Linked DNA regions of Rattus norvegicus. The protein of the gene in region 1 interacts with the protein of each later gene in a pairwise test. Links are inferred from orthologs where the notes say so. Each region holds a gene or a part of one and is shown on either strand. Other genes may lie near its edges. The genes, in order: Efemp2, Ammecr1 and Creb5.

Evidence for each region.
Region 2: the proteins of Efemp2 (region 1) and Ammecr1 interact in binary tests that used the Homo sapiens proteins (3 or more experiments, as listed by UniProt). The two-hybrid records come from large-scale screens. The link is inferred for Rattus norvegicus from reciprocal best matches to the Homo sapiens genes EFEMP2 and AMMECR1.
Region 3: the proteins of Efemp2 (region 1) and Creb5 interact in binary tests that used the Homo sapiens proteins (3 or more experiments, as listed by UniProt). The two-hybrid records come from large-scale screens. The link is inferred for Rattus norvegicus from reciprocal best matches to the Homo sapiens genes EFEMP2 and CREB5.

What each region holds. Positions count from the first base shown.
Region 1 is NC_086019.1:212,207,756-212,218,299, reverse strand, and holds the start of Efemp2 (EGF-containing fibulin-like extracellular matrix protein 2 isoform 1 precursor), read right to left. Parts: upstream 6,579-10,544; 5' UTR 6,482-6,578; exon of another isoform or gene 6,252-6,481; coding exon of another isoform or gene 6,186-6,251; coding exon 6,075-6,185; intron 5,845-6,074; coding exon 5,796-5,844; intron 5,157-5,795; coding exon 4,950-5,156; intron 3,727-4,949; coding exon 3,604-3,726; intron 3,364-3,603; coding exon 3,247-3,363; intron 3,136-3,246; coding exon 3,016-3,135; intron 1,570-3,015; coding exon of another isoform or gene 1,553-1,569; intron 1,342-1,552; coding exon 1,222-1,341; intron 1,138-1,221; coding exon 1,011-1,137; intron 824-1,010; coding exon 628-823; intron 1-627. UniProt on the Homo sapiens protein: Plays a crucial role in elastic fiber formation in tissue, and in the formation of ultrastructural connections between elastic laminae and smooth muscle cells in the aorta, therefore participates in terminal differentiation and maturation of smooth muscle cell (SMC) and in the mechanical properties and wall integrity maintenance of the aorta.
Region 2 is NC_086039.1:111,362,325-111,372,868, forward strand, and holds the start of Ammecr1 (AMMECR nuclear protein 1), read right to left. Parts: upstream 5,776-10,544; 5' UTR 5,763-5,775; coding exon 5,287-5,762; intron 1-5,286.
Region 3 is NC_086022.1:83,720,984-83,731,527, forward strand, and holds the start of Creb5 (cyclic AMP-responsive element-binding protein 5), read left to right. Parts: upstream 1-3,241; 5' UTR 3,242-3,300; intron 3,301-3,357; exon of another isoform or gene 3,358-3,456; 5' UTR 3,457-3,495; coding exon 3,496-3,657; exon of another isoform or gene 3,658-6,442; coding exon of another isoform or gene 6,443-6,445; intron 6,446-10,544. UniProt on the Homo sapiens protein: Binds to the cAMP response element and activates transcription.

The DNA.
Region 1 (10,544 bases):
TCAGTATGAGTCCCTGCCACTGGCTCTCCTCATCAGCTCCATCCTGACCCTATCCACCCTGCGTTTCCCTCCATCATGACTACCTGATGGCTCGAGTTTCAGGGATGATGGGCCTTTGGTGACCAAGAGTGTCCCATTTCCCCTCCAAAGTATTCAGTTCTGTCATCACTCTAGTGCTGGGGAAGAACTGAGGGCCTACTGAGTGGAGCTGCCATGGAGCTGTGATGTCAGCCCCAAAGAGGTTTTGAAGCCAAACACCTCAGTGCTGAAGGCAGCATAAGGACCCACGTCCAAGATGCCCCACACCTCCGCCAGCCTCCCTAACTTCCCCTTGCCAGCACACTGGAGTCCCTGACCCCAGCCCTGCAGGAACTGTTCTTGTTTAATGGATAAGGAAATCAAAGCCAGGCAGGAGAGAGCAGTACTGGGACTCACCCCCTAACCAACTACTCCTTAGAACTGCCTGTAGCATGTTCACTAGGAATATGGACCATCTCTGACTTCTGCCGTGACCCCTGCTTCCTAGGACAGGGCTCTGAGAGAGGAGGCAGGGCAGCTCCCACTTAAGTGATTTGAGGCATTCTATTTTAGATAAGTCAGTTGGGTCTGAATAGAGAAGCACCTTACCCTAATGTAGAAGTCCCCCTGTGTGTTCCCAGCACGGATCTGAAAGGCATTGTAGGCGCCAGGGTAGACAGAGGTTGCCTGGATCTGAAACACGTCGGCAGGCACACTTCGCTCTGAGGTGATGCTCATGTAGCGGTGCACGATGGATGACGGTTGCTCTCGACAAAGGGGGTTGGAGGCAGGACAGAGGCAGCGGCTAGAGACCCCAACACGAAACAGCAGTGAGGGCTAGGCCCATTCCCCAATACCTACTTCCTAAAGAGGAAAACCCGACTCATTCCCATGAGATGTCATGGGTACTCACCAGCCTGACTAAACCAGTTAGCCCCACAGACCTCTGGAAATTGTAGTTACCACAGCAAACTGCCACCAGGTTGACTCACTTGTCCGACACTTGGACATAGGGCTCCACACAACGGTTGGTGTCCACACAGCGGTAACCCCCATGGAAGTTGACGCAGGTTTGGGCCTCCGAACACTGGTGTGCACCTGTTTCGCACTCGTCAATGTCTGTGCCAAGGGAGGTGGAATTGGACTCTAGGACTGACAGTAAGCTGCCAGCCTCTCAACTCCTGCCCACCCAAGCACCTGTACCTTGGCAGAGCCTTGTGGCCAGCAGTTGGTAGCCTTGTGGGCAGTGACAGGAGAAGCGACCTGGCTCATTGACACAGCGGTACTGGCAGAGGTAACTGGAGTAGCTGCACTCATCGATATCTGAGGGAGGGTGGGGATGAGGACCCTGGGCCGAGGGTAGTCCTCACAACCAAGTCCCACAGACCTTTACCGAGAGAGCCCAGCCCCCCCATAAGGCTGGATGTGGGAAGAGAGAGGGAGTGAAGTAAACCCATAATGCTCAAAAGGGGGACTGAAGGTTTCAGAGGAAGGTTAGAGGGCTGGGGATATAGCTCGGTGGTAGAGTACTTGCCTAACACGCTTGAAGCTCTAGGTTCCATCCCAGCAAGGAAAGGGAGAGGAAAAAGAAAAGACAAAGAATAGAAAGGTTTGAAGCTTGGCATGGTGCTATAGTCTACAATCCCAGCATTTGCGAGGTAGAGGCAGGAGGATTATACCAAGTTCAAGGTCAGCCTGATCCACATGGGGAGCCCCACCAGGATTATATTAAGATCAAAACCAGCCAGGACTACATAACAAGATGGATCGTGCCTTGAAAAGCAAACAATGGGGTGTCTGATCACAACATCTGGGAGGCAGAGGCGGAAGCAAGCAGGTCAGTGTGAGGCAGCCTGGTCTACATAAGAGACTCCAGGCCAGCCAGGGCTACACAATGAGACCCTGTCTCAAAACAACAGCAGACCTTCAAGCATATAGAGCACCTCTCTCCCAGGACTTTAAGAATACGGAACAAAGCACTAGCCTAACATGGTGGCCTGTGCCTCTGATTCTAGCACGACTCAGCAGATCTCTGTAGGCTAGCCTGATCTATACAGAGAGCTTTACAACAGCCACGGTAATATAGGCTCTGTCTTAAAAAGCAACACCAGTCTAGAGGCTTGGGGGTACCACATTGAGCCACGTTGGTCCACGTTGAGCCAGTTAAATGAGTAGGTTAGACTAGAGGTGTCCTGAGGGGCTAACCTGCTCTATTCTTTTCTGTAAGTCTTGCGATTTGCAGTCAGAATGCCCAGATTGGCTGAGCGTGTGACCCACATGCAGCATCCTATCTGTCTGCTCTTGCTCCTTTCACACCGCTAAACACCAATGATGCTGTGCCTCACAGAGCACACAACAATGAGGGTGTGCCGGGTGACATGCTGAGATGCCTGGGGTAAGCCCAAGCCCCGCCTCATCCTTCCCATCTGAACTTGGACAGGTCACTTCATCTCTGTAAGGGGAAAGATGAAAGTCACCACTGTCTCTCAACGTTCTGCTTACTTTCTACAGTTCCACCAACACACCTTTAATGTTCTGTTTACAAAAGTAAATCATCACTGACCAGATAAAACGAGACTGAAAATTTAAGTTATAAACGCATGGCACCTACTTTTTCTGCCTGAGACTTGATGAAGCCTGTCAGTCACTGTCCCTAACTCTCCAAATAGCCCATCTGCCTTAGAAATGTGCCCAGGAAGAAGAGACTTTCCTAGTGCAGGATTCCAATGCAAGTCAACTCAACTTTCAGGAAGACGGGCACCTCCATCCCTCTCTGTCTCTCCAGCAAGCTTCAGAAGCACCTATCGTACCAACCCCCCAAGCTGGGAGTGCCAAACAACCAGCTCAAGATGGAGTTCATGAAGGCCTGCGGGTGCAGAGAGCGAGACATCGAAGCCTCAAACAAATGACTGTGTGACTGGAGTTGGTCCAATACGTTGCAAGTGCGGGGGGGGGGGGGTACCAATGCAGTATCCAGTAGCACAAGTGGACTCTCACCACTGCAGGAGAAGCCATCCCGGTGTAGCTCATAGCCCTGGTTACAGCGACACAGGAAGGTCCCATAGGAGTTGAAGCAGCGCTGCTCACACGGGGCTCCCATGTCACACTCGTTCACATCTGAGGGTGCAAGGACAAACACCCACTCGACTTGGGCTCAGGAAGGAGATCCTGCCCCTACCTCACCCATCTCTACCCAGGATCCCAGAACCTGGTCTGGCACAGCCTCACCCACACAAGAGCGGTTGTTAGGTCCCAACTGGAAGCCGGGCTCACACTGGCATCGGAAAGAGCCTGGCAGGTTCACGCATCGGTGCTGGCAGTAGCGGTAGCGACACTCATCTATGTCTGAGATGGGAGGCAGGAGACGGAAAGTAGAACACAAGCTAGGTGGGGCCTGAGCCAGCTCACCTCAGCACCCACGTTCACCCCTGCCTTTGTCGGGGAGCTGAGTTGAGTCGCCCACATGTCTAGTGGGTCTGGTGACAGGAGTGCACCAGCAGCAGAGGGCTGGGGTGACGTAAGGTATTAGATCAAGAAGCAGACCAAGGTCACAGAGCAGGAACTTAGGAAAGCCACCGAACTCACCTACACATTCGGGCCCAATTTTTCGGTAACCATCGGGGCAGGTGCACTGATAGGAGCCAGGAAGGTTATGGCAGTCCTGGCTAGGGCGACAGTCATGTATAGCCTGGGTACACTCATCCACATCTGTGGGAGACACCATTCAGCCTTTGCCTGGAGTCCCCCATATGCTAAGGACCGTGTGAGGAGGGGGCCCATGCACATGGGTAGTTGGCATCAAATCATGAACATTTAATTGAGATCATCCCAATAGTCCAAAAAAGAGTCCACCAAGGAATTACCAGGAAAAGTACCCATTAGGAGAACATACTAAAATAGGGTCTTGTGGGAACTGGTGGCACACACCTTCAATTCCACCACTGCGGGGGAAGAGAGGCAAGAGGACCTCTGTGAGTGCCAAGCTAGTTGTAGCTAGGGCTACAGAGTGAGACACTGTCTTAAAAATAAATACATAAGTAAACAGACAAATAAAGCCCTGTCCATTTATACCCCGCAGCTGACTGCAGGGCCAGGATCTCTCCTCCTCCCAGACCTGACTCCAGATCAAAAAGCTGGCAGAGGCTGGGAGCAGAGCTCTCACATGTCTGTCCAGGAACTGAGGCTGCTAGGGACATCCTGGGCCTGCAGACCATGCACTGAGCCTGCAGTAGATGAAAACTTGGATATTTCTCTGAGCAGCCAGACGGAAGGAGCATGAGGTCTGGGGTATTAAATAGGGAAAATTACTTTATTATTTTGTTAATTAATTGTTTTGAGGTAAGATCTCGGGCAGCCTCAGGTGGTCCTCAAAAGTTCTTACGCAGCTGAGGATAACCTGTACTTTCGGATCTTTTTGCTCTCTCCCCACTGGTGGGTTACAGGTGTGCGCTACCACACTTGTTTTTTGTGTTTTTTTTGTGGTGCCAGGAATCAAATCCAGAAACGATCTCAAAACCCAAAGTACATAGCTGGATGGTGGGGTACAGAGGCAGGTGGATCTCTGAGTCTGAGTTCTAGGATGGCCAAGGCTACACAGAGAAACCCTCTCTCAAAAATCAAAAACAAAGAAACAAACTAAGGAGGACTAAAATAACTCTACTGGAGGATTAAAAGAAACAAGAATGATATATGCCGAGATGGCACCATGATAAAACACATTACTTTGAACAGTAAATACAAAGTTAGTGTTTTTTTCTATTCTTTTTTTTTTTTTTTTTTTTTTTTGGAAGCTGGGGATCGAACCCAGGGCCTTGAGCTTGCTAGGCAAGCGCTCTACACTGAGCCAAATCCCCAACCCCCAAAGTTAGTTTTTTTTAAAAAAAGTTTATAAAAGGCCTGGAAGCCTAGGTGCCAGCATGGCCCCCACTTACCCACACAGCTCTCCTGTTCATCAGGTTCATAGCCCGGAGGGCAAGGATTTGGGTGTTGAGCAGAGGCTGCTGGTGGTGGAGGTCCTTCACTGTGGAGATCACTGATGACGGCAGCAGAGCGAGGCAGACACAAATAGCCCCCGTAGTGGTTGATGCATTTCATTTCACCCTTGCAAGCCTCGGGGATGGTCAGGCACTCATTGACATCTGCAGAGAGGGGCCTGCTGGGCACAGCCAGTCACCTGGGCTGGCCCTGGAGGTAGTGGGAGGCAGAAGCCCAACTTGGCCTTCTCTAAACTGAGCAACACAGCAAGGCTTTCTCTCTGCTCAGCAAAGGCTGCCGACCCAGAACCCCTCCCAGGCATTTGCAGGACTGGGTGTGTGGCCCCCTATTTCACACTGTTACCCCCATTCTCCTGCCTCCATGTGAGTTTCCGTTTCTCTTCAAATCCCTGCCTCTACCTTTGCCCAAGAGTAATTTGCAGGCCTCCTGACCCACAGAGCTTGTACTGCCCTCCCAGGGTGCACTGGGATAGAGCTGGGCTGGGAGAGTGCAGTGCAGTTCAGGGAAGGTGTACGTATTTCCTTCTTTCTGGGCAATAGCCAGGTGCTCTCTTGCCTCCTGCAGGACAGAGGCAGAGTTTGTTCACCCTCTTGAAGGGGTAGGGCTCCTAATTGAGTGGCACAAGAGAAGCATGGCTGCCTACCAGATGGCTGGCTACCAGGGTGGACAGTGGGAAGGCCATCAAGTTCCTGCTGCAGCTCTGGGAGATAAGGTGTCCCTGGGAAACAGAAGTAATCCCCTTCCCAGTTCCTGAAGATGGCTAGTACCCCAGACATACTCACCCCGGCAATGCTGGCTGTCTGCATCCCACTCATAGCCATCTGTGCATTCCTGGAAGGGAACCCGATGTGGCCAGTGACCACCCTGGCTGTCTCCTCCAACTAGCCAGGCCAAGACCAGGGCTTGAGCTCAGTCATGCTCAGGTCAGCTCCACACAATGGCCTCCAGCTTTCCACCAACCAAGCAGGGGAGAATCATTCCCAGAAGCAGCCTCCCCAGGATCCTGCCTCACTCGCTGTCCTTCCCATCCCATCCCAAGCTGGTGACCCCAAGGTCCCCACCGTGTAGCTGTCCGGCTCTTCGGAATCCTGTGGGGACGCTGCTCCCAAGAGCAACAGCAGAAACGCCCAGAGCAGTAAAGACCCGGGGAGGCAGGAGGCAAATGGGAGCATCCTGGGGCTGAGAGGGGGTGGGCAGAAGTCAGGGGTTTCTGCCACGACACCCCCCATTCCCTCCATCTGGAAGGGGAGGCTGGGTCCCAGCTATCTCGTCCCAGGACTGTTCTGGGAGCACCGAAACCTTCCAGGGCTGGGGACCGAGTCCCTTCGCAGGCCTGGGGCTCAGGGCCGCAATCTTGGACCGCCCCGCCCCCGCCCCACGAGTCATGAAGCGCAGGCCTCTCCGCTCCGCGCAGCATATACTCGGCCGCAACACGGCCCGCGCCCTCCCTCCGCTGGAGGCCACTCACGCGTTGACTCCAGCAGTGCCTGCGGGCGGACGGACGGACCGCGCAGCTCACTGGACGCGCGGCCCCAGGAAGCGCCCCCCGCCCGCCCGCCGCGGCCCACCCCGGCGCCTCCGCCCGCCCTTCGGCGGATTCCTGAGCCCGCGCCAGGGGGAGGGACCCCGACCCCCCGGCTTCTCCGCCCCGGCCGGCCACAGGCCCCCACCCGGTCCCCCGCGGCGCTGCCTGGAGTCGCCTGTGGACGCCTAGTCAGTTTCCCAATGTTTGGGTCCTTAGACCATTGACCTTGATGCTTGGCACCCAAACTCACCTGGGGACCCCAGGCCCTCACTCAAAATGATTATTCTGTCCACCTAAACCCTATCTAACCTGTGCCTCCGGAATCCCTCTGTGCACTCGCACCTCCGTGTAACCGGATTCTGCGCTTCCCAGAACCTAACAAACATTTATTTAATCCTCAGATCTCCAAATGCTACCACTTTCAGGATTTTATCCAGTGTTACACTCTTAGATGGTCCTAAAACTTCATCCAAGGTTTCCTGATCCTCGTCCAGGCATACAATTAATTGTCCAATTCCCTCTGTATCCACCTCCACCACCCCCAGGTGGTCTCTTTACTCAGGGCACTGCTTCCCCAAGCCCTGCCTGCGCAACGCTACAATAGTATGGGGGCGAGGGCAGCAGTAGTCTTGGCCCGAAATGAATGGAAGCCCCTGAGAAGGCGGGCAAGCTTGAACTTGGTCGCGGAGGACACTAGGGCCCAGTGCCAGCCCTTTCCCGACCCTCTTCCCATCCAAGTCCCCCACCCAGTTTCCGCCTCCGCCCCCAGCGGAGATCATGCCTTGGAGGCGGAGTCTGGGTGCCTCTGGCGCCCAGGAAGGGGTAAATGGGCGGGACTTCGCGTTGCCCACGTCTCAGGGCGGGTCTAGACGGGAAAGGGTTGCGTGTCCAGGGCTCCCGTGCTTGGCCCAGACCGCTAGCGGCAATAACCCGGCCTTCCTTCCTTCCTTTCCCTTTCCCAACCTCTTTCCATCTTTTTTTGTTTGTTTTTGTTTTGTCTTTTTGCGACAGAGTCTCAAACTGTAGCTCTGACTGTTCTGAAACTCACTAAGTAGATGAGGCTTCGAACTCACAAAGATCTGCCTGTCTCTGCCTCCTAGGTTCTGGGATGAAAGGCGTGCACTACCATGTTCCGCTCTGCTGTGACGGAAATAAAAATTCTGCTTCATTTCATTTAATTGTCTGAGTGGTAATGTGTGTGGTATGTGCGTGTGTGCCTATGTACTAATGGAGACTATCGCTCTCCACCCTAAGACAGTGTTTGTCAAAAAAAAAAAAAAAAAAAAAAAAAAAAAGACAGGGTTTGTCACTGAGTCTGGAACTTACTATTTTAGATAGATTGGTTGGCTGGCTAGTGTGCTCTCAGTCCCCACCTCCCTGACCCTCTAGGGGTTACAGACATGCATCACCACTACAGCTGGTCTTTATGGTAGAGCTGGGGATCAGAACCCAGACCCTCATGCTGTGTAGCAAGCATTTTACCCAGTAAGCCATCTCCTCAACTTCCATTATCTTGATTAGAAAATTTGTATTGGGGTTGGGGATTTAGCTCAGTGGTAGAGCGCTTTAGCAAGCGCAAAGCCCTGGGTTCAGTCCTCAGCTCTGGAAAAAAAAATTTTTTTTATTAACTTTTAAAGATGCATATGTGTGTGCATCTGTGTAGAGGTATGTACACCCGAGTGCAGGTGTGCACAGAGTGTGGATCTGGAGTTACAGGAAGTTGTTAGCTGCCTGACGTGGGAACCAATCTCAGGTCGTCTGGAAGAGGAATACTAGAGTCATTTCTACAACACTGACTTTTTTTTTTTTAAACAATAAAGGGTTAGGGGTGTAGCTCAGTAGCATCCTGCTTGCTTGGCATTACCAAGATCCAAAGTTTAATCCCAGTAACTCCTGACACACTAGAGTGTCTGTACATGAGTGTGTGTATGTGTGAATGTACGTGACTGTATGTGAATGTATGTGTATGACTGTGTGAATGTATGTGTGAGTGTGTAAATGTGTGTAAATATGTGTGAATGTCTGTATATGTGTGAAAGTATGTAAGTGTGTGAAAATGTATGAGTGTGCATGAGTGTGAATGTGTGTTGGAATTCTGATGTAGAACAAAGCCCACAGAGGCAAAAAAAAGTATGGGGAGCAGATGAAGTCCTGAGCAAACATGGATCCCATTAATATAGGACCCAACCACTCGGACCTGTGGGAAGGGCAAGGCCTTCTCCAAGTCAGGCTCAGAGAACTGCCAAGGCCTTCCATGAGCACAGATGCTGACAGTGTGTGTATTTTGAAAGCCCAGATGACTGCAGCCTGAGACTGCTTCCCTGCAGAGATCCCCTAAGGAGATTAGCTAACTCTGTTCTTCCAGCTCCTATAATAAATCAGCTGAGTTTCCAGGCTGCTGATGTCTCCCTCAGAACACACGGCCCACCAGATCCCTGGATTTTCTTCATGCCTGTCTGTTCTTTCTCCATTCCCCATTGCCCAATCAAGCCAATCTCAAAGCCTGATTGGGGGAGGGAGGGTGGAGGGAGGGAGGGAGGGAGATGAGAGGAGAGAGAGAGAGAGAGAGAGAGAGAGAGAGAGAGAGAGAGAGAGAGAGAGAGAGAGAAACACAAGGGGAAAAGTGTCCCTGACCTAGTGGCACATGGCTTTAATCCCAGAACCTGAGGCAGGTGGATCTCTGAGTTTGAGACCAGATTGGTCTCCATAGAGAATTCCAGCTACATTGAGAGACACTGTTTCAAATATACATATAATCCTTGGGTTTTTTTTGGGGGGGGGTCTTGGTGTTTGAGATAGGGTTTCTTTACATACCCTGGCTGTCCTGGAACTCTCTCTATAGACCACACTATTCTCCAAATCAGAGATCCAACTGCTTCTGCTTCTTAAGTGCTAGGACTAAAGGTGCGCACCACCACACTGGCTTACATCCATTATTTTCTTAAGAGGTGAGTTGCAGCTGCGCAGTGGGGGCTTACATCGTTTATCTCCGCCTGAAAGAGGCAGAGGCAGGTGGATCTCTGTGAATTTGAGTCCAGCCTGGTCTACATAGTGAGTTCCAGGACAGCTAGAGCTACACAGTGAGACCCTGTCTTGAAAACAAGAAGACAAGAAACAAACAAACAAAAAAACCACAAAGGTGGGCTGGAGAGAAGGCTCAGCGGTTAAGAGCACCCGACTGCTCTTCCAGAGGTCCTGAGTTCAATTCCCAGCAACCACATAGTGGCTCACAACCATCAGTAGAGAGATCCGATGCCCTCTTCTGGTGTGTCTGAAGACAGCTACAGTGTACTTATATATAATAAATGAAAAAACCACGGGGCTGGGGATTTAGCTCAGTGGTAGAGCGCTTACCTAGGAAACACAAGGCCCTGGGTTCGGTCCCCAGCTCCGAAAAAAAGAACCAAAACAAAAAAAAAAACCAAAAAAACCACAAAGGTAAATTGCATAGTAAGCAACTTACATCTCAGTTAATCTGTTGTTGCTGTTTGAAACAGGATCTCATATAGACCAGGCTAGTCTGGAACTTTTTTTTTTTAAAGATCTATTTATTTATTATATATGAGTACACTGTTGCTGTCCTCAGACACACCAGAAGAGGGCATCAGATCTCATTACAGATGGTTGTGAGCCACTATGTGGTTGTTGAGATTTGAACTCAGGGGTTGGGGATTTAGCTCAGCGGTAGAGCGCTTGCCTAGGAAGCGCAAGGCCCTGGGTTCGGTCCCCAGCTCCAAAAAAAAAAAGAAAGAAAAAAAGAGATTTGAACTCAGGACCTCTGGAAGAGCAGTCAGTGCTCTTAGCCACTGAGCCATCTCTCCAGCCAAGTCTGGAACATTTTAAGAAACCAGGCTAGTCTTGAACTTCTGGCCAGCCTCTCCTCTCAGTCTCCTAGGTGCTAGAATTACAGGCGTGAGCCACCATAACCAACTATTAAGATGTTAATGACGTGAAGTAAAACTCCTGATGATCAAGATCTAACCATCCCAGACACTTGCAGGGATAC
Region 2 (10,544 bases), on another chromosome or scaffold:
AGTCCTCACTTACTTAGCTTAATTGATTCAGAACAGTATAAAAAGAGACATTATTACACAAGTTTGAAAAAGACTACTTACAAAATGTAAATGTAAAAGCTCTGGCCATTGTGCTGCTCTAAAACAGGCAAGCATGCGTGACATGGACAGCACAGAATAATGCCTATTGAAATCCAGGAAACCTGGGAACTCTGACTAATCTCATTACACAAGTTTAGTGTTCCATACATATACATTCTCAAAAAGCGAATTTATCCATAGAAAGGGGGAAACACAACTGACTTAAAATACAATCCACTGTAGCAAAAAGGTTTTGTGGGACACAGCTTCAGTTTCAGAAAGTGTAGTTTTGAAAGAGAAAACATATTTAGAAAAGGAACTCATACATGTGCTATCAAAGTAACTTTTACATTTTCGTTTATTATCTTTCTTCCCATGAAATTGAAAGAACACAGCAGAGGCTCCTCCTAGCCTGGTACATTAAGTGGAATCTGAACTCAAGTGCAATTTATAAGCAAGAAAAAATTATGGGTTAGTTTATCACTCCTTTCAGCCATATGGGGAAGAATGGAAAGTAAACAGCTCCACAGTTAAGTAAATAAATATACTTAACTGTATATACACCAGTATATAGAGATTAAAAATAATCTTGTCATTTATGTTTCTACATTTCTGTGTCTGTCACTGATGGTGTTGTGGTACAAGTAATAACTGAGAACATGCCTGTCTTTTCTATCAGTAAGAAGAGCCATTAAGTTCTGCAATGTAAATCAACAGTGGTGCAAAGAACCCTTCCAAAGTCTCAGCAAGCATCAGAAAAATGCTTTTCTTTTCTAAGAAAAACTGTACAATATGGCCAGAGCAAAGTGTCTCCATCTCTAAAACAACCCACCACACCTCCCAAGCATGTTGAAAATAGGAATTTTATTCTTACGGTAAGACAAGAGTTAATGCTCAATCCTCTAACTTGAGCATTGCAAGATCTGCATGTCTGAGAGTGGGTTTAAAAAAAAAGGTTTTGTTCCTTGCAACAGAAAACCACTTACTGATATTTAAAAGCAAAATATCCATGTGCAATTGTCTACAAAAAAATCTAGTGTTAATTTCACAGATGGTACAATAATTTAAAAGGTTCATGAGATATAATAGATTCCACAGCATTAAAAAATCTATGACTATATACTCTGAGTGCTTTAACTGGGACCCTTTTTCATATTTCCTTACTAATGAGGGAAATTCTTTAAATAAGTCCCAGCAAACAGAAGTATAAATAAGGGCTTTGAAAAAAATCTCATCACATCCTGTTATTTAGGGAGCTAACTGTAAAAGTACTTTTCATGGAAACAAGAGGGGGTCCTTTTATTTAATAGTAACTCACATTAAGTTATTCTATTTATGCTGGTTTTAACTCCTGAAATATGTCCTTCACACGATCACTTCCCTTGAAAAATCTATATTCACATAACAGGTTTCCTAGAGTAACCCCAGCCCCACACCATCCGCAGAATTTGATTCCTGCTCTTGGTAGCACTCAATTCCCCTCGTGATATTTGAGAATGAAAAAGGACAGGAAAACAGAAAGAGGCCCATGCTTGTCCAAACTGCCACTGACAGTCATTCGAGCACCCATTGAGGCCCTCAGTTCTCCCTAACCCACCCTTACTCAGTGTCTGACCCTGGGAACTGTAGCATCAGCATCACCAGGGAGCTTGTTAGAAATGCAAATGTACAGCTCCACCCCAGAGCAACTGGATCAAACTCTGGGAAAGTGCCCAGCAACTTGCAATTTTAACAAGCACAACAGAAAACTACAATGTATGCTAAAGTCAGAGAACAAGTCCGCCATAAACTTTAATGTGCATGAGTATCACCTAGGGAGCTTGTTAAAATGCAGATTCTAATTCAGGGAGGTTGAGGTGGGGCTTGGGAGCCTACATTTCTAATAAGTTCCCAGGTGATGTCTTTTATGGACCACATTGCAAGCCTTTCCCAAACTGATTGTCTGCTCAAATTACCCAAGATGCTCATAAAATATGGAGTCTGTGGCACTACCCCGATTGAATTAATCCAAATCTCAAAATAAAAACCTAGAAAATAGCCAGCAGTTCTCCATGCCAATACACACTAAAATTACCTGGGGAGTCTTAAATAATTCTGATTCCCAGGTCCCAGTCATGGTGGACTAAATCATCAGAATCTTTGGAAAGAATATAGGTTTCCATATTTTGAGTAACTTCCCAGTGATTCCAATGGGCAGCCATGGTTGAGAACTAATGCTCTGGAATCTAACTGGTTCCACACCTGCCACAGGGGAACCTTTAGTCAACAGGTTCTTCGAAAGTGGCTTATGTGAGCTTTGACTGTTGAATATGAAAATGCACCTAAAATTATGGTTTCCTTGCATCTTGAACCTTATTTCTGGAGAGAGAGAAAAAAAACCTGTGTTCTCTGCAATGGTTGGGTACTCAAAAGATGGACAACCATGGAGTATTTGTATCTATCTACGTGACCTTTCACAGACGACCTCTTCCCCAACCCCAAAACATATAAAGAATTAAAATTTCTAATGACCTTTCAGAGTGTTAGAGTAACGGATGTAGCTGTGACTTCTAAATCTGTAAGTCAGATCACACCAGTTACAAGCATTCGGACAGAAAGGGCCTAGGAGGAGATGACAACACTACCCTATGCTTTTACATATGACAATTTGATAATGTTAGAAGCATGTCTTCTGCTAGACAGGGGAAAAAAGACTTTAAACATACTGCCCATGACATTATGCCCATAAGTCAGTGGAGTAAAAAAATCTTTTAAAGCCTATACAATGCCACAATAATAAGCACACAATACCAAATTTGTAAAATGGAGACATGTGTGGTTGTTTCCAAGGCACTGTGAAATATTGAGCTATTTCACTCCCACAATCAAGAAGATATTCTGGAATTTGACATGGCACACTTTAAAAATCAGTTTAAAAGGAAGGAGGAGTCCTTCATTCTCTGGTTGCTGTGGTCCAGCGCCTTCAATGAACTAGCTGGTCTATAGAAATGTGGCATACTGAAAGCCTAACCCTTCAGAGCTACACTTCTTCCCCCACCATCTCATCGTATTCACAGTGCTCAGATGGGTGTTTTATTTAACTGCTTAAGAACACTTGAGAGGCAAAAATTCAGCAACTCGGGTATTAAAAGGGAACCAATCTAGGTACAAGTGGAGAGTGACCACTGCTATTAAAAACAAAACAAAAAAAAAAAAACCTTTTTAAAAGCATTTCCCTTCTGAACTAACTGGTCAAGCTCATTTTCCTCTTAACTGTTGTGATAGTTATTCAGTTAACCCAAACTCACTTTAAAAAGTGAGAAAATAGCACCTCCTCAAAGTGTGTTCTCATATGCTTTGGAGCAATGGGGCGTGAATGCTAAAACAGCCTCTGCCAAACTCATGTAACAGCTCAAGAGCTGAACAGGAGTAAATTTTTACAACCCCAGGACTTTCCAGAGCCAGCCTAAGAATCATCCCAGGTCTAGCTTTTACTACATCATGGCCACCCAAGAAAAGGCAAAAAAAAAAAAAGTCACTAATAACCTAGAGAGTATCTCATAGATTTCCTTTTAATATGGCTATCTTTTTAAAATGAATTTTACCTCTTAATGAAAAATAAATAGGCCAAGTAAAAGTGGAGATTTAGAGTTTAAGTTAAATTAACATTATTAACTTGCCAAAAGCACTTAATTTACTCGACTGTGTCCACCTGGACACCTTTTCATACATTTCTCAGGAGCTGAGGCCCAAAGATGAACCAAACCTAAAGAAATGTCCAGAGCACAGCAGAGTCCTACAAAATTAAAGACATTTAAAGAATGAAAGCAAAGAAAACAAACAATACGAACACACAATTTCCAGGACACTTTATTGTAATTTCCACTTTACACATTAATTTAATGTTTTAGTAGCGTCAGACTGTTCATAATTATCCAGCAGTAGTAGTTCGTTCCTCTAATCTCACAAAATGAGAAGCAGCAAGTTAAAAAGAACATCAATTCATGTCTTTACTCTGTGGGAAACAAGAAGCTCTTGAGCAGAAGGGATGGGGTTGATGATTTTCAGTATGAGTGTACTTAGTTTTTTTTCTGTATTTTTCTGGTGGATGCCAGTAGTCATAATCAAACAATTGCCCCCTTTCCCATTCTGCCTTCCTTTGGACTTTACATTCTGTCTAGCACTTAGCTCAGAAAGTCAGTTTACACTCAGTTTACACATTTTAAAAGAAAAACCATATGCCCCATCTCCCACACATCCAAATGGACAGAGATTAGAAGTAACCTGGCTTTTAGCTTGTAACAGTGCTATTTTTAAACAGTTTCAACCATATACTTGAAGGGTATAAACTAATGTTAAGTTACAAAAGCCAAAGGAAATCATAAAAGTGCCTACACATGTACCGCGTTGTTTAACTATTCCTCAAATCATTGAGTTTAACATAGGTTGCTTAATCCACACAAAAGCAAACGCACGCATTGACAGTGCCTCTTTGGGGACAACATTCTTTCTTTTAATGTGCTATACCAAGACACTGGAAGGAAGAAGGAAGAGGGGGAAAAAAAGGTCTCACTCTCAACTGTGAGGTGGTGCGTTAGCTTCACTAGAAATGCATTTTAATGGGTATGTTCAGATAAAAATAGGTAATAAGGCAAAAGGTGTTTTAAGGAACCTCTCCCCTCCCCGAGGAACAGGGAGGGAAACCCGGAGGAAAAGATGGGCAACCTCCCTGGAGATCCAGAGCTAAGTTCCATCACTAGGAGAATAGAAGTTAGATCACTGCTATTTTTCACCCTGCAATGGGATAGTAGCTCTCCATGTGCAAGGTACGCGGGGCGGGAATACTGGCGGGGCTTTCACGTGGGGTAATGGCGAGCAAAGTGAGGAGAGGTCGCTACCGACAGTGATCCAGATCTCCACCAACGCTGGTGGGGTGGCGGGTGAGGGGTAGAAAGCAGCGAAGGAAGGGGTCAAAACTCCTGGAAGTTAGCGCAAAGAGGAAGCGCGGGAGCAGTCTGGAAGCCAGGGGGCCATGTCTGGCAAGCAGCCCCCTGCTCCGAGTGTGGGCTTTCCTCGTGGAGCAGGGGAGCGCCGAGTGCCCCACGGGTCGGGCGGCTCTGGGGACCCTAGCGGCAAGAGGGACTGAGGGGAACCCGCGAACAGGAGGCGGAGGACTTACACTTTACCTCAACTCTGAGCCCCATCCCGAGCCCGGGGGAAGAGGGCGACGGGGAGCGCGGTACTCACTAGGGCTCGTTGGTGAAGCGGGGGGTCCGGGGCTGCTGGTATCCATACAGGTGACAGTAGAGCACATCGAAGCAAAAGCAGCACATCTCCGCTGACACCACCATCTTCCGGGAGCCGGGGGATGAAGACGAGGAGGACGGCGAGGAGGCGGTGGCGGCGGCCGGAGTAGAAAGTAGGGTTCCCACTCCGCAGCTCAGAGGTGGAGACAGCGAGATGCCCCCGCCGCCGCCGCCGCCGCCGCAGCCCTGAGGGGGAGAGAGGGTACAGCCGCCGCCGCCGCCGCTGCCGCCGCCGCCGCTCAGCCCGCCCAGTCCGTTGAGCCGCGTCCCGGCGCCTCCTAGTCCCAGCTCCCCGGCTCGGCACTGGCTCTCCCCGCTGCAGTGGGAGGAGGAGGAGGCGCCACCACCGCCACCCGAGCCGGAGGGGGGCGAACTGGACAGTTTCTGCTTCTTCACCCCACAGCAACCCGCCGCCATCTTGGAACAGTCTCCCCCACGCAGCGCTTCCGACCCATAAGTGAGGCGAGCTGGCGGCGGGGGCGAGCACGCTGCGGCCCCGGCCGCCGGGGGCGCGCTAGGGGCTCGCGGTCTGCGCGCGCACGCGGCTGAGCGGCCGGGCGGCTGCCCAGCCCCGCCACTGCTCAGGCGTGCTCGCGCCCCCGCCTGCGGCGCGCGCCACGAGCCTTCGTGGCTTGGCGCCTACGGTGGGTCCCGCCCGACTCGCGCCTCCTGGGAGGCCGGCTCCTGGCCGAGGATGGAAGGCGGAAAAGCGAAGGGAAAAAAAGAGGACAAGACTTGGAGAAGTGGGAGGAAGGAGAGGAGGTGGGCGAGCTCCAAGAGGAAGCCGGGAGACAGAAACTAGTGAAAGGGGGAAAGAAAAAAGAAAGTCTGAAATAAGCATCCAAGTTTCAAAGCGCACCTTGGTGATACCCCAGTGCATGTCGTGTTAGTGACACTTGAGCCCAGTTAGGTGGAACCTGAGCCACACGGCCTCAAATACACTGGTTCTGAACTGTTAAGAGTGTGAGCAAGCAGGTGCTCCTTGGAGCTCCACACCTGAGACAGCCACTGTAAAAGCCATCTGGGAAATGGCCACACTACAGTGTCTTTAATGCTAGCCTTACCAGACACCACAGTTGTTCTGAGATTTTGCTAGAAATGCAAAACTTTAATCTTTCCTAATTGACAAATATGAAAGTCCAGTTCAATGTGTATATCTTGGATTTGTTTCCTTTATCTTCTTGTAGTCCAGGGAGAACATTTAAAAGTAAAAATAAATATATAAGTAAGAGCCTCACAAACACTCCACAGAATCAAAGGTGTCCTTTGTATTTTCAGACTTGCAACCGTGGGTTTTTAGGCTTGGGGACTCAAAAACAAAGCGATTTGAACTATATCTGTAATGTCCATACCTTGGAGATAAATATATAGGTCAGGTAGGGTTACTTTAGTTACAAGTTAGAAGATTTTGTTCGGGTGCGTAATGAGACAGTTCTTAATTCTCATTTTAAAAAGTTGTCTCAAAACTGCTTGAATGAATAAAGAGGTGTATGATTAATTCAGTCCCATTCTGGGCACTTAAGAAGGAGCTGTAAAATGACAATAACCGGATGTAAAAATTCATTTAAAAATAAACCAGATAGAAAATAAGTGATCTCCACTGTGTCTACACGGTGTCAAAATATCCCCCACAAAGACAGGAGTCTGACTGTTTGTCTGCAAACAGTGGAAGATTGACTCTGGTACCTTGGATCTAAATGTGTGGGACCTTACAAACAGTTGAGAGCATTTCATTCCACCCAAGGGGAAGAAAAGTGAGGCTTGTTCACATACTAACTAACCATTGAGCCTCTATTCACATCCTCGTGCACGTCTGGTAAAATCAGAGACGTGTGCAGAAAATATGTATGCTTCCCACTCTTTCATTCATAAATTAAGAAAGATCTGTGTATTTGATCAAAAATTGCAACTATTTATTAAGCACTTTTTGGGTGGCAGTATTATACCTATCTTATACACCTATCCTAGAAAGTAATGTATCATCTCACTCCGTCTTCTCAGGAAGAATCGGAAATGCCTCAGTTAAAACATTAAGTAGCTCGCCCAATGTAGAAAAGGACCGAATCAGGATTTAAATGCAAGCATGTCCCATCCTTAAACCTAGGTCACAGAGCTGAAGGTGTAGACGGTCGATGGTAGAACGTTTGCCTGACAAATGCTACACTACTGTTCAGTCACAGTATATAATAAAAAATTAGTAACAAAAGAAAAGTGATGCTATACTCTAGTCAAGTAGTACTAAGAAATAAAATCTGTGTTTCTATGGATTGAAAGCTTGAAAAACACTGAGATACATTACCAAGAAAGAAATGCACTACCCCCCCAAAAAAAACTGTATGGAATGGACAAATCAACCAAGATGGTTAAATAGTATCTATACCCTCTATACCCTACACCCTACACACACACACACACACACACACACACACACACACACACACACACACAAAGTTGGAAGGAGTTGCACATACATACAATCCTATAAACTCAAAAGACTAAAGCAAGAACGTCACAAGCTCAAAGTTAACCCAAGCTACATAGCAAAGACTTTGTGTCAAAAGAATCAGACAAGGGGAGGGAGCAGAAGCATAGAAGGAAGAGGAGAAGGAAGATTTAACTGGTTTGTGATAAAGGAGGCAAATAACTGTTGCCCGCTACTATTGGAGGGAAAGTGTGCCAATTCTTTTGTCATGTGGAAAAAGAGAAAAGTAAGTGCTTGTAAAAATTAAAAGTACCATAAGTGATGTACTGTGGATTTTGTTTTTACTCTGTCCTTTATTCTACGCAACATTATACTTTGATGCATGTACTGAATTATATAATTCTGCATATAAATACAACTATTATACTTCAATTAAACAAATTATTTTTAAAAGAAAGGCAATCATGATGGTATGGCATAATGACTATGTTATCTAGCTCAGTTATGGTGATCATTTTATAACACACACACACACACACACACACACACACACACACACACACTTACGAGACATCAAATTTTGAACCTGAAGCAAATACACCTTGCTTGTCAATTGTACCTCAATAAAATAGGGGGCCCACACAGGTAACTAGATCAAATACAATAGTATGCAATAGGTGTCAATTTACTCCTCACGCTCCGCCAAATGAGAGCACTTGTAGAGTATAAAGCCTGAACCATTTATGACATCACACTACAAAGTAGGATACCATGGGCACTGCTTCTGCTGAGGGAATTTAAGAAAGCAGAATGGAGTCTCCTGATTTAGAATTTGGCCAAAAGACAAGAGTCTAACGCCCCTACTCTTGTGAAAAATAGCAAGGAATCTTTAATAAGCACCAGCAGTCATGTCCTTAGTTCTACATTTCATCTAAAAGATAACAAAGCTTGCCAGGCTGAGGGACCGACTGATGCAACGGGGAAACCCAACGACAAGGACACTCCAGCTGAATTACAAAAATAGCTTTTCCCCTCAAGGATTTTTAATCCCAACTCCAAGCTTCACTATCACAAGGAAAATAAACCCAAATGTGATCAATGCAGAAAAGACACCATCACCTGACTCCTGGGGCTTACTCATCTCCAGTTCTTCCTTGTGTGGGCTGGCTGAAAGGAGGGGAAATAAGGAGTAAAGATGTTCTATGTGTTAACTTCTAGCTTAGCTCCTGTCCCATACTAACCTTGCAAAGTCACCAGCACAGAAACTAACACATATAGACACGTATGGATATATACATGGATAACATTCAAACATATGAATTTTATAAAATAGATTCTTTATCTCTATATACATTGCATAGTGGGAAGGAAATTGACCACGATCAGGACTCTCTTGACTCAAAGTCCAAATATCGTCAAAGTGAGATAGTGTGGTGTTTCTACCTTCTGTTGATCTGGGAGTGTAGTGATCACACATTCCAGAAGAACCTTTAAAGCACCTTTTGCTCTTTTTAACTGACTGTCAAGCTGGAAGCTAAAGATTCCGCATCTCTCTTAAGCAATAAAGAGAAAGTAAATAAGTCTCTGGCTCTGTATCTCCATTGAAATTGAAGCCATCATTGCTTCTGCATCTGCATTCTACACTGCTATTAACAAACTCGTCAAGCATTTTGCTTTACAACAGTGGGAAAACTACTCAAACAGAGAATATGCATGCCGTTTATTACATAGTAAACTAGAAACTGAATTAAACCCAATGGCCACTGATTATTTTATCATTGTTTCCATTGATTCTCACATTTATACGGGTTTTTTTCTTTTCAGAATACAAGAATAATTGTAATTGGACGTGATAGTGAACTTCATAATGTTGCAAAATTATTTTCTTACATTTCTGGAGTTTGTGGTGAATGGGAAGCATTCACATTGTTGAATTAAAAAAACAAAACGCCACATCTGAGCAAACAAGTGTTATTTTTATCTTCTGCTAGTCAAGTTTTTCAACTGTCACCCTTGAACAACTGCAGAATGGAATATCCTTAGCTGTCACTTTTGATCTAACCTTGTGCATATGTAACCAATGGTTGTGGTGGTAAAAGTGAAGACCAGTTCCTTTATTACGTTTAATGAATATGTGACTTAATATTAAAACTCTTTACCTGACTTTTTTATTCAAATTGGTGAATCTGTTTCTGTTTTCCTGGTTATGAAATATATTTTTGCCCTTTAAATCTGTGCTTTATCTAAAGAATATGCTTGGGGTTGGGGATTTAGCTCAGTGGTAGAGCACTTGCCTAACAAGTGCAAGGCCCTGGGTTTGGTCCTCAGCTCTGGAAAAAAAAAAGAATATGCTTATAGGTGAAAAAGGTTTTCTGATTTTCTGTGTTCCAGTTACCCCATTTACAATTTCTATAGTCTACTGGAATACACACTGAGTGGTATTTTGATACCTATTTCCTTGAGGCAGAGTTACTTTAACTCCTCAATGAGACTTAGATATGCTAATACGAGCTCTGAGTGTTGAACAAATGGTAGAGCTGGTTCCTTGTAGATTACAAAAGGCAAACTTTGCAGGGAAGAGATGATGTAAGGATATTCTATGGGGCCAATGATAGCAAGCAAAACCTGAAGGTATCAAATGGAGTTCGGACAATCTTAATTTGACTGTTTCTTTTTCTTTTAAAGCGTTTATATATACATCCATTAGGGTATAGAAGCTTATATGTTCCAATACCCAGCCTCCAAGTTAATTATTAAAATATAGTTGTTTTCTATAG
Region 3 (10,544 bases), on another chromosome or scaffold:
AGGATGTTGGTTTGGTAAATCCATGACTTTGATCCCAAGGTTCTTCCCTTCCTGGTCCACCAACTAAGGAATAACCCGTTTCATTTGTCATTGTGGATGCTACTTGTCTCTCCACAGGCCCAACCTTCTTAGCACCAGGCTGGCTTGGGTAGGGGTGCCTGTGGGTGATTGTACCCCAGCCAGTTTGGCCTGTTTTTGGTGTAAATGACCCTGGTTCCACATGTCCCACCGCATGTCTGGAGGTGAGATGTCGTACCTGACTGGGTGCTGGCATCCCAGTGTGTAAATGCCATAGACTATGCCACCTGCTGACTCACTCCCTTGCACTGTCGCCTCCTCCGTTTTACTTCAGTTCTGAGAAACCCTGGATGAGACTGGGTGAACCAGCACAAGGCAGGCAGGCTGCAAGGCCCAGTCACGGGGGCTGTTGGCAGGGTCTGATGGGCAAGAGTCTGCTTGCTGCCCACATGCCCTTGCTACCCTTGGTTGAATGATGAGGACAGTCTCTTCCAGTTACCAGATTAAGTTTACTAACTTCACTGAATGCCTACTGATGACAGCCTCGGTCCCAGTTCTTTCATTAATAGGGAGAGAGTGGGGCTTACAGAGTACTCTCCCAGAGCCAGGTACATTTGTGAATGCAAGTGACATGATTCTTGAGTTACTGTAAATATTCCCAACGTTGCATTCAGAAAGTTGGGTAGTGCCTTCATTAAAACCCAATTACTCACACTTCTGTTTAGAGAACTCTGTGAATGGGGCCATCTAACTCCTTGCAGGTGTGTGAATCTTTTGGCCATCACCCTTGCTCTGCATAATTGATTCTTCACTCCATTCCTCTGGATTATACCCATTTCTGGGGTTGGGGGACACCAGCTCTCAGCTTCAACCCTGATATGCTGGCTCTATTCCTTGGGAGCCTTGTTTCCTCTGAGAAAGGAGGTTGTCCCCTGTTCTGGGTGAGCAAGGCTGTACTGGAGAGAGAGAGAGAGAGATGGAAGGTGGGTGCAGAAGCTGCTGTTCAATGTACTGTCGCTTCCTTCCCTAAGCCCAGACAATTGAACCAACATGGTCAAGGTTTTGTTGGTTCAGATTCAGGTTAGGACCAGAATCTTCTTTCACAGTTCCTTTGGTGTTCGTTCCATGGAGAAAAGCAGCAGAAGAAAATTCACGGAGGAGCTTTTAGGAAGGCTGCAAGGAAAAAGGAGTTGTCAGCCCCTGTGATTTCAGAGAACCCTGAAGATGGGGTTGGAGTGGGGTGGGGGCATTTAAACACTTCAAACCAGAAAGGAAACAAAACGCTCTTCCACTTAGTATGTCAAAACCAGCTCGGAAATGTGACAGTTTGGGCAAAGCATTACGATTCCTAGCCAGTCTAGTCACGATCCTCTGGCAGACTGCACAGTCACGGCTGTGATGCATGGGGGTGAGAGGCACTATATAAATGTCAGATGTTACATAAATGTCAGGAACCGTTATTGTTTGTTAATGGGGGCTAAACTGTTCCTAAGCAAAGATCCAACTTCCAGCTAGCAAGTTCTTAGTTCTAACCAGTCAGCCACCAGAAGAGAATTAACATCCTTGACTCTACCAAGGAACCCAGGTGGGCACTGGGGTTAGACATGAGCTACAGTGTTCTCCCTGCTGATCTCGAGAGCGCCTAGCCTTCTGGCGTCTGCCTCAGCTCAGCTGTGAAACAGGGTAATTACAACACTGTCCCCACTTTTCCTCATCGTGCCAAGGTCTTATGAGGAAGAAGAAAACGGTGTGACTTCAAGTGTTTAGCAAAGTGTGAGTTGTTGCAGGATGACAGTGGTCATTTTGAACAGGCTTTCAATGTTCCCCAAAGGGAGCTTCCAACCCAAAAACCTAGCCCTTGGTAGGAGTGAGGAAGGTGAGAGCAGTGGCGTCTGGCCCATGCTGAAAAAGGTCAGTCCTTCTTTCCCCGCTGCAGACCTGGCCCTATATCCCATATTCTAGCCCTGGCTGCTTCCCAGCCGGTGAGCTTGGGCCAGTAGCAGAGGCTCTAGAAGCAATGGCCAGGGCCCTTCCGGCGCTGACGCGGAGTCTAAATCCGGCTCATCCTTTGGCTCTTGGCTGAGATTCACCTTTCCCCTTTAGAAAGATTCTTTCACAGGTCTGCACACGCACGGTGCGGGACTAGGGAAGACTGTGTGCTGTGTGCTGTGTGTAGTCCTACTCAGTGTACACAAGAAGTTATGTCCTTGAGAGTGATGAGGAGAGGGGCGGCGAAATGTAGACGTAATGCTGAGAAGCCAGCACGCAGAGAACACTGCAATGAGGTCATGGCTGTCGCAGGCAACGGATCTGGGTATCTTCGGGGGCTGATGTAGGGAAGTAGGCAGAGTCCTGCATTTGTAAGTGCAAAGGTCTCCCTTTACCTCCTTCAACGTCCTAACCACCTCTCTTGCTCACACCCCAAACCTTACTTCTTTCTGACCCTACAGGCACTCCTTGCAGGAGCGCTCGTGCCCCTGTCTCCTGCATGGTTCTGTTTGAAACCTTCAGGATTGTTTCCAAGCTGACTCACACCACTAATGTCGGGGGAGCCGTGTTACTCGGCGCTGGGCTGTGCAAGCTGTTGCTTGCGCGATCGCGGGCGCCGCTGCCGCAAGCACCCGGGTCCGCTCGAGGGGCGGGGTCTGGGCGGGGCGGAGACGGGCACGCCCCCTCGGCCTGCGGGCCCCGCCCCTCTCTCCCTCCTTCCCCAACGGACCGCAATGATTTAGAAGTTCAGGAATCCCACGTGACGTCACCGGGGGGGTGATGTAATGCACTCTAAATAGAATGTATTGTAATCTTTGCTCAGTCCAACGTGGTCCCTTCACCCGGGCTCGGCTCTTGCCTTCTCCACACTTGTTTGGTAAGTTCCTAAAAATACGGCGCGGCTACTTCTGGGGCTTTTGCATTTAGCCACTTTCGCTGCACTTGCCGCGCCAGCCGACTCGGAAGCGTCCTTGTTTGCAGGGGTTGGTTCATCGCTGCAGCCGCGAGGTTACTTGGTCCAATGGGCAGGTCACAGGGCAAGGAGTAGAAAGGATGCGATGCATTTTTTTTTCTTGATTTGTGTTTATAAACACTTTGGCGGATCAGAGGGAAGCCCGGCCCCAATTGCTGGTGGACTGTGGAGTTGTGCTGTGTCCTGTAGTCACCCAGAGACCCCACGCCGTGTCCGTCCCGGAGCGCGTCTCGGTGGTTGCTGCGCCGTGCGATTGGAGGGATGCTGAGTGGAGCCAGCGCCGTGTCCGACCCAGTGTGCGTGCGTGTTTGGGAGCGCGCGTGAGTTTCCCTGACACGGGGAACAGTCATGAATCGGGGGTGTATGTTTGCCTCCAGAGCCCATGGCAAGGTGCGGAACCCTCCAGAAGTGTGGTCAAGCGGCGGTGGTGGTGGCGGCGGCGGCGGAGGCGGCAGTGGTAGCAGCAGCAGCAACAGAGACCAGGAACCAGGAGCCTCCTCACATCCCGTTTCTCAATGATGCAGCGGAACCCCGGGAGAAAGTTTGCAAACTTCCACCATTTCGGCCAAGACGCCTGGTCACCTAGGGGCGGCCGGGCGAGTTTGCAGGGGGCTCTCTCTCCCACCGGTGCCCAGCGGCCGCTGCCATCTCTCGAGACCCGCTACCGGCTGCAGCTGGTGGGCGCGCGCCCCGGGAGGGACAGCTGCCCTTGGAGGGGACTTGACTTTCGCTCCAGGCGCTCCAGCTTGAGAGTGCTCCAGAGCCCTCGCCTTCACTCCTGAGCCGCCTTCCGCCTCCGTCCCCTTTGCGCTGGCACTCTTACTTCTTCCGGGCTGCCGCCCCAAATGACAGCTGGGGCCCGAGCCGCACTGCACCCAGGCGGTTCTCAGTACCGGGCGACAGAGCCTGCCTTTGAGCCAGCTTCTCCATCAACCGCTTAAACTTTTCACAAAGTTCTTAAAGGGTTGAGACAGACACCGCCCCCACTCCGCCACTTTAGAGGGACCATAGCCCGCTTTAGTTTTTCATTTATTTATTAGTTAGAGATTTACTTCCAGAGGGGTGTCTAGTAGAAAAAGCCCCAACTTTCCCTGAACGAGTGCCGTCCCCACTTGATGCTGGTTCAAAGCTGGGAACTGGAGCGGGCTGCTTGTACATCGTTGTCAGTGACTGCAAAGCTTGTTTGGTTTTTTATTTTTCCCTCTTCCTGACATGTGTCAAAGAATAAAGGCTGGCTACAGGTCCATTACGTCATTCTGCAGGCTAGTAAGTGTTTGATTAAGGGCTTCAGATATTCAAGGGTTCTGGGGCTCAGAATGCTGACAAAGCAACTCTGCTCCCCTCCTCCCCGGAGCAATTGCGGGTTCCCTGGACACAGCTATTGCCCTCTCTTTCCCGACCCCTCCTCCTCCATCCTTCTCCCGCCCACCTCGTTATCACTTGGCCTGCCCCCCGCCGTTTACAGTTTTCCCCTAGGGGGAATGCTGTCCCAGGAGTGAGCTGAAGAGCTTCTGGTGCCTGAGCGAGCTCAGTACCTGATGAGCGCTCAATCCGCTCCTTCCTATTATTTAAGAAAGGGACTATCCGGGCCCTCTTTTCCCACGCGAGAATGCTCAGTCTGGATAGAAAACCCCTAGAAAGGTTTAGAAGCCTTATACGCTAATAGCGTGTGCCTGCCGTGACTTAGGAAAGCAATATGCCCACAGTTAAGAGCCCAGAGCCCGATGAGTTGATGAACTCCGTAGTCCTGGGAGAGGGATGAAGGACTTGACTAAGTCAGGTTTAGCGGAAAGGATCTATATTAGACATTTAATTTCCAGAGTCAGGGACGCGTCTGATAACTGAAAGTACCTTATAACACCTTACTGCTACGCGCAGTAGTTTCTTATTCTTGCGTTTCTATGTTTGCAGAGGAAGTTAAACGCCCAATTTACAGAACTGAGTTCTTCCCCACTTGCTCTTTAAAAGAACACTAGTAGCAAAAACACCACTATATGCGACTTGATTAGGGGACAAAGTGTGAAAACTTTTGGGGTGAGTGAATAATGATAGCTGAAATCAAGTGAAAACAAACACAGGCAGAAGCTTTTGACTGGAGAATAAGGTGTTTGAAGGCTCTTTGATTTGGGCACGGAGGAGGCTAAGTAAAGGAAATTTTATATTCTAAATAGGCAGCATTCTTGAAGAACACGTGTTTGGTTATAATTAGATCTACTTTCTCCAACATACTCTGGCCCTAGAGCAGGCTTTGTGGAGCTTGTGACTGGAGATTGCTTGACACCCCTTCCTCAAGTTTGTGGCAGTATTATTTACTGGCATCTAGCGATGAAATGGTATAGTCCCCCTATGCGAAGCACAGGCATTGAAAATGTTAAAATTCTTGTTTGTGATGCAGAAACCTAAAGGGAAAATGGCCAGGTCACCAGGCCCTGGAGAGTGTGATTAATGATCAGTGATTTAGTGATCAGTGATTAGTGGTTTTATTCAAACTGTTACCTCTGACCAGAAGCACACATCAGAGGATTAACAGGCTCTTTAGATAAATGCTCATTAGTGGAAGGGGAAAAGCAAAGATAATAGGCGTGCACCCAGGGACAACTTTCGAAGACAATCATTCCTGTCTTCACAATAATAAGCTCTATTAACAGAAAGCCCTTTTAATTTAAAACTTGCTTTTATCTTGTAAATCAAAGTTAGATGTAAAAGTTTGTAGTGCCATTATAACCTAGATTTTCCCATATCCAGGAGATGTGGATTATCCCAGTAGCGATATTTTTTTTATTTAAACAAACAATTGGAGCTTTAGAGTGACTGGACCCTGACAAGCTTAGCTCCCAGGGCTGGAAGGTGTCCCCCCTTCAGGCTTGGAGACTGCGCTTTGCTAACTAGATGGCGCACTGTTATTTGGTGTCCTGTGCTGCAGAGCACATGGGCAGAAGCTGAGCATGTAGCTGCTTGCGAGGGAGGTTGTTCTTCAGCACAACAAAGTTCATTCTGTGTAGGATTGGAGGCTAGACGGTTCTACAAGTTTTTAGTCACATTTTCCGTGTCAGTTAAATCTAGGGAGTTGAAGGCTACTGGAAAAATTAGTCTCATTACTAACAGTAACTTAAAGAAGGAGGGAGGGGAAAAGGTACCAGAGTCTATGAGATAGGTCTGAGTTGCAGAGGGAGGGGAGAAGGTACCAGAGTCTATGAGATAGGTCTGAGTTGCAGAGGGAGGGGAGAAGGTACCAGAGTCTATGAGGTAGGTCTGAGTTGCAGAGTGACTGCTAGGTGCCAGGCCTCCTCTCTCTTTAGCTCAGAGCTGGTCCACAGTCTTCTGGCCTGAAAGACTGAGCCAAGTACTCAAAGACGTGTTTCCTTTCTGATCTTGCTGGTTAAAAGAAGTTACAAGAGAGGAGGGCAATTTCTGATCTGGAGACGGCAGGAGGCAACACGGTGCGGTTTTACACTCCCAGCTATGGTAAGAGCATGCTCATGTTTGTGAAGCAGAGACAGCCCTCACATCAGTCCAGGTCAGTCTCATACTGTCACAGACAGGACTTGGAAATGGGTTTTTATCTTATGTTTATTTGTATGGGTTTTTTTGTTTTTGTTTTTGATACTTTGCTGGGATCAGTAGGATTTTGTGTAGGTGTGTATGTGTGTGTGTTTGTGTGTGTGAAAAAGAGAGAGAGAAAGAGAGAGAGATATTTATTTGTGAAATAGAATAAGTTCACAAAGCGGTGAACTGCTGTGGGGAAACTATGAGGAATGGAGAGCAAGGTGTCAGGTAAAAATCTCTTCAGAAAGCTTTCATGAGTCACTTTAATGAGTCCTTGAGTTTTAGCAAGAAGGCATTCTTTTATAAAAAACATAAAGATTAAAGGCGAAACATAACAAAAATCATGTCCACACTCAAACTTAGATCCAGACTCCTCTAAAGAAGGATGCTATTGGATAAATAGCAGTTTTACTTGAGTTTTAAAACTCTAAGATCACAACTCCCTGCCTTTTCACCCATTTTCTCATTTTCTGTTGTTTATACCACTTTTATATGAATTTGATATTTTAACTCCTTATCCTTGTATAAATTTAAATTTTCAACTTTACTCAGAGTAAATACATTTACTCATCTGATAATATCTGCAAGTCAGATTTTCTTAAAATGTAAAGAGCAGATACCCACAGATTACCTGTCAATCAGAAGCAGTCAGCATTCTAGATTGTTCCTACTCCTAAAAAAAAAAAAAAAAAAAAAAAAAGGAAGCCGTGCCTTTACTTCTATTTTGCTTTGATGTTTCCACCTTTGAATTGGTGGTGAAGTAAATGGTGGTCAGTTAGACACTTCCCCTGCATAGCTTTTCATTTGTAGAATATTCTTATTGGAACTATTTGCTGGTTTCTCCCGCCTGCATGTTCAAAAACAAGTTTTTCCACTGCAGTTTGTACCAATGTCACATTTCCAGTCTCCTGACTTCCTCCTGTGACTTTCTTTTTAGAGATCATAGATCACTGGCGTGTTCATCTTTAGTTGGGAATTATCCTGTTGGAGTCTGATGGTCCCTTCCCCCTCCTCACATGAACTTTGTCTGTGCAGTTGGTGTTCTTCTGATTGTACCATTAGACTGGAAATGGGATTTCAGTGGTGTTATTATTTTAGTCATCTTTTCTTTTCCTCTTCAAAGCAATGCTGTTAGTCACAAATTAATGTGATCAAGCCTGGTGTTTCCCATCTATATACTGCTTTTGCTGCTTGCAAATTGGATCTAAGGCAATTAAAGAATTTTTTTTTTTGAGGCAGCTTTCTTGGAGGAAGCCGGACAGTGACCTCAGTCAATTCGTTATCTTGTCCAGTTTGACTGTTGCTGTGTTATAGGAATCAACCAAGGGTTTTATAAATTAGTGCCTGAGCATTTCAATTGAAGACTATTTCTCCAAGTTCTGTTTAAGGAAATGATCCCATTGAGATAAGGAGGTACAGAGAGCAGCAGCCTTCAATAGGTCTGGAAGATAAACTTTGACAAAGAGAGCCTTCCGGCTGCTATGTGTGAACTAAGTGTGCTGTTTTCTTATAGTGATTTATGGAGGAAGTCTGGTACTTTAAAAATGACTCCATGTGATGTTTGTACTAACTAATTATTAGATTTAGTAATTAAGAGAAACAAGTGATTGATGCATTTTTAAACATTCATTATTTCTGTATTTGGGAACCACAAATGATGAATTCAGCAGAAGAACATTTTTAGGAAGAGGGAAGGCTCTGAGGTGTTTTCAGAAGTGACAACACTCTTCTGAAAACACCGGGAAAGTTTGTGAAAAGAAGACCCTGGGGCTCTCAGAGAACTCCAAGTTCAGGGAAATTTTCTGAACGCCTGCAATGTGACATGGGATGCCAAGTGACTTTTCCTATAGGTTCACTCCATGGTCTTCCCCCATTTTATCTGAAAAAAAGAAGTCAGGAATAAAAACATTGATCTGGAATTGAATACTTCAGTTGATTTCTTCTATTCCCTGAAGGTTCACATTTCTCATCCCTGTCTCCAAATGAACAGGAATGCCCCATTACCACGCTGGCATTTGACTTCACCTGATCCTTCTTTTTACCAGCCTAGAGACTTGGACGGTGGGTAGAAACCGATAACTGCATATAGATGCTGGAGCTAGGGAGGGAGAGCCTCTTGGTCAACCTCTCCAGTGAGAGGAGAAGATCCCAAGGCCTGGTTACATCCCTTAGCTTATCCAAGGCCTGGGCCACAGAGTGGGAACCAGGCCTGACTGCCTGGCCTTCTGCTTCAGCTCAGACTCTCTTTCTGTCAGGCACGCTGCCTAAACGCCCCTGTCATGGATCCACTCAGCAGAGGCCAAGGTTTCAGAAGCTTCTCTCTTTTCAAGCCCTTTCACAGTCAGCCTTTCAAAGACAAGTTTTTAAAAATTAACTTGACTGCCTTGAGCAAACAAATTGTAGTTTCTAGTCTGTATTTGCATATATATGAAATAAATGAAATCTCTATATGAAATGCTGATTTTCCTACATTCTATTTAATTGATTTTTTTTTTGCCTTAAAGTCTTCTTCATGCTTATATTAAGCCTTACAAAACCCATAGTGCTGAAGTTCCATTTGAGATTACAAACTGGGCAGGATTAAAATGGTTGAGAAGGCTGTCCCAGCATAAGGCAGTGACTTTCTTTCCTTATCCATGTCATCTTTAAGCAGAGGGTCCGAGAAGAGAGAAAAGGCTGAACGTTTATATTCACCATCATTCTGTCGAACAGAGGGAGTGCTCTGCCCACCCTCGCTCATCTACTTTGGCTTGGCACCCATCTGCAATCTGTTACGTTTTCCGAGTCAGTGTGGGAGTGAGTTTGGAGTAAATACTATTCTGTGCAAAGTGAGTTGTCTGGAAGCATGCTCTTAGGGTTTCACTGGCAAAGCTTGACGACTTATAACTAGCAGGAGTAATTTAGTAGCACAGGGGGCTCCAGAGCACTGGGTATTTTCTTTCTGATTTAGACTCTGTTGCCACTGGATGGGGGAACAAGAGCATCTAAACAGAAACCTTGAATGCTTGTACTGTGTGTATCATTTGGCTCGACCCATGTCTTTCCTTTCCAGCCCTTTGCATTTTACATCAGAACCCAGGCCTCTCTTGTTCCTTTATTACACCAAGGAGCCCCTATGTTGCAGGCATGATTTCTCAAATGCAACACATTTTGGCTAATTTTATGCAACCCTCTCGGCCAGCTTCCCAAAGGGGGAACAGAGAACAATAACAACAACAAAAAGCTTTGTTTTTATTTAAATTAGCTGACCATTAAAAGGAAAGACATTTAGTTTACATTTGGCCTATTTGGTAGGACTGTGCCCACTTTATCAAAACTCAATTTTTTCTCTTGGAGCAAACCTGGCTTCTAAAACCCAGGTTTCAACTTTTGCATCGCAGAGGGTTGAAGGCACTGGGGATAAAGTCCACTGCCACCAGAGTACTGAGGTGTGACTTGATGAAAGCTGGGGGAACACGATTTGCCTTGCTTCAAGGACAACACTGTGGCTCCTCAGAGTAGAAAACATCAGTGTTCGGAGTTGAGGCAAAAGCGTCTCTCAGGATGCTGACAACCTCCAGTGTTAGCACGCTGGTTGGTCTAACCTGGTGTGATCGTTCCTTCCTTCCAGGGCCCCATGAGTGGCAGGCATGCACATTTTACCACTGAGCTGTACCCCCAGGTCCAGGGTCATTTCTCTGCTGAAGTGTGGCAAAGGTTCTCTTTCTCCATTCTTTGCATTTACTTGGTGTTAATGTTTCCCTAGACTTCCTTTTTCCTTTTTTTTTTTTTTTAATATTCATCCCTGCTGACTACTTCACTCTCAGGAGTGGCCCCATAATATCATATCACAAAGCACGCACAACAGAGGGGGCTCTTTCCTATAGATAACTCCATTTTTGTACCCAGACGTTGAAGACACAATTAGTGAGACAAATTAGAGACAAACTGATTGGCAGTGAAGGCCAATCTCTCTGTTGTTCCAGAGTGACACGGCCTCTATGGCAACGGGCAAAGCCTGCGGCTGGAAAGTCCCCCA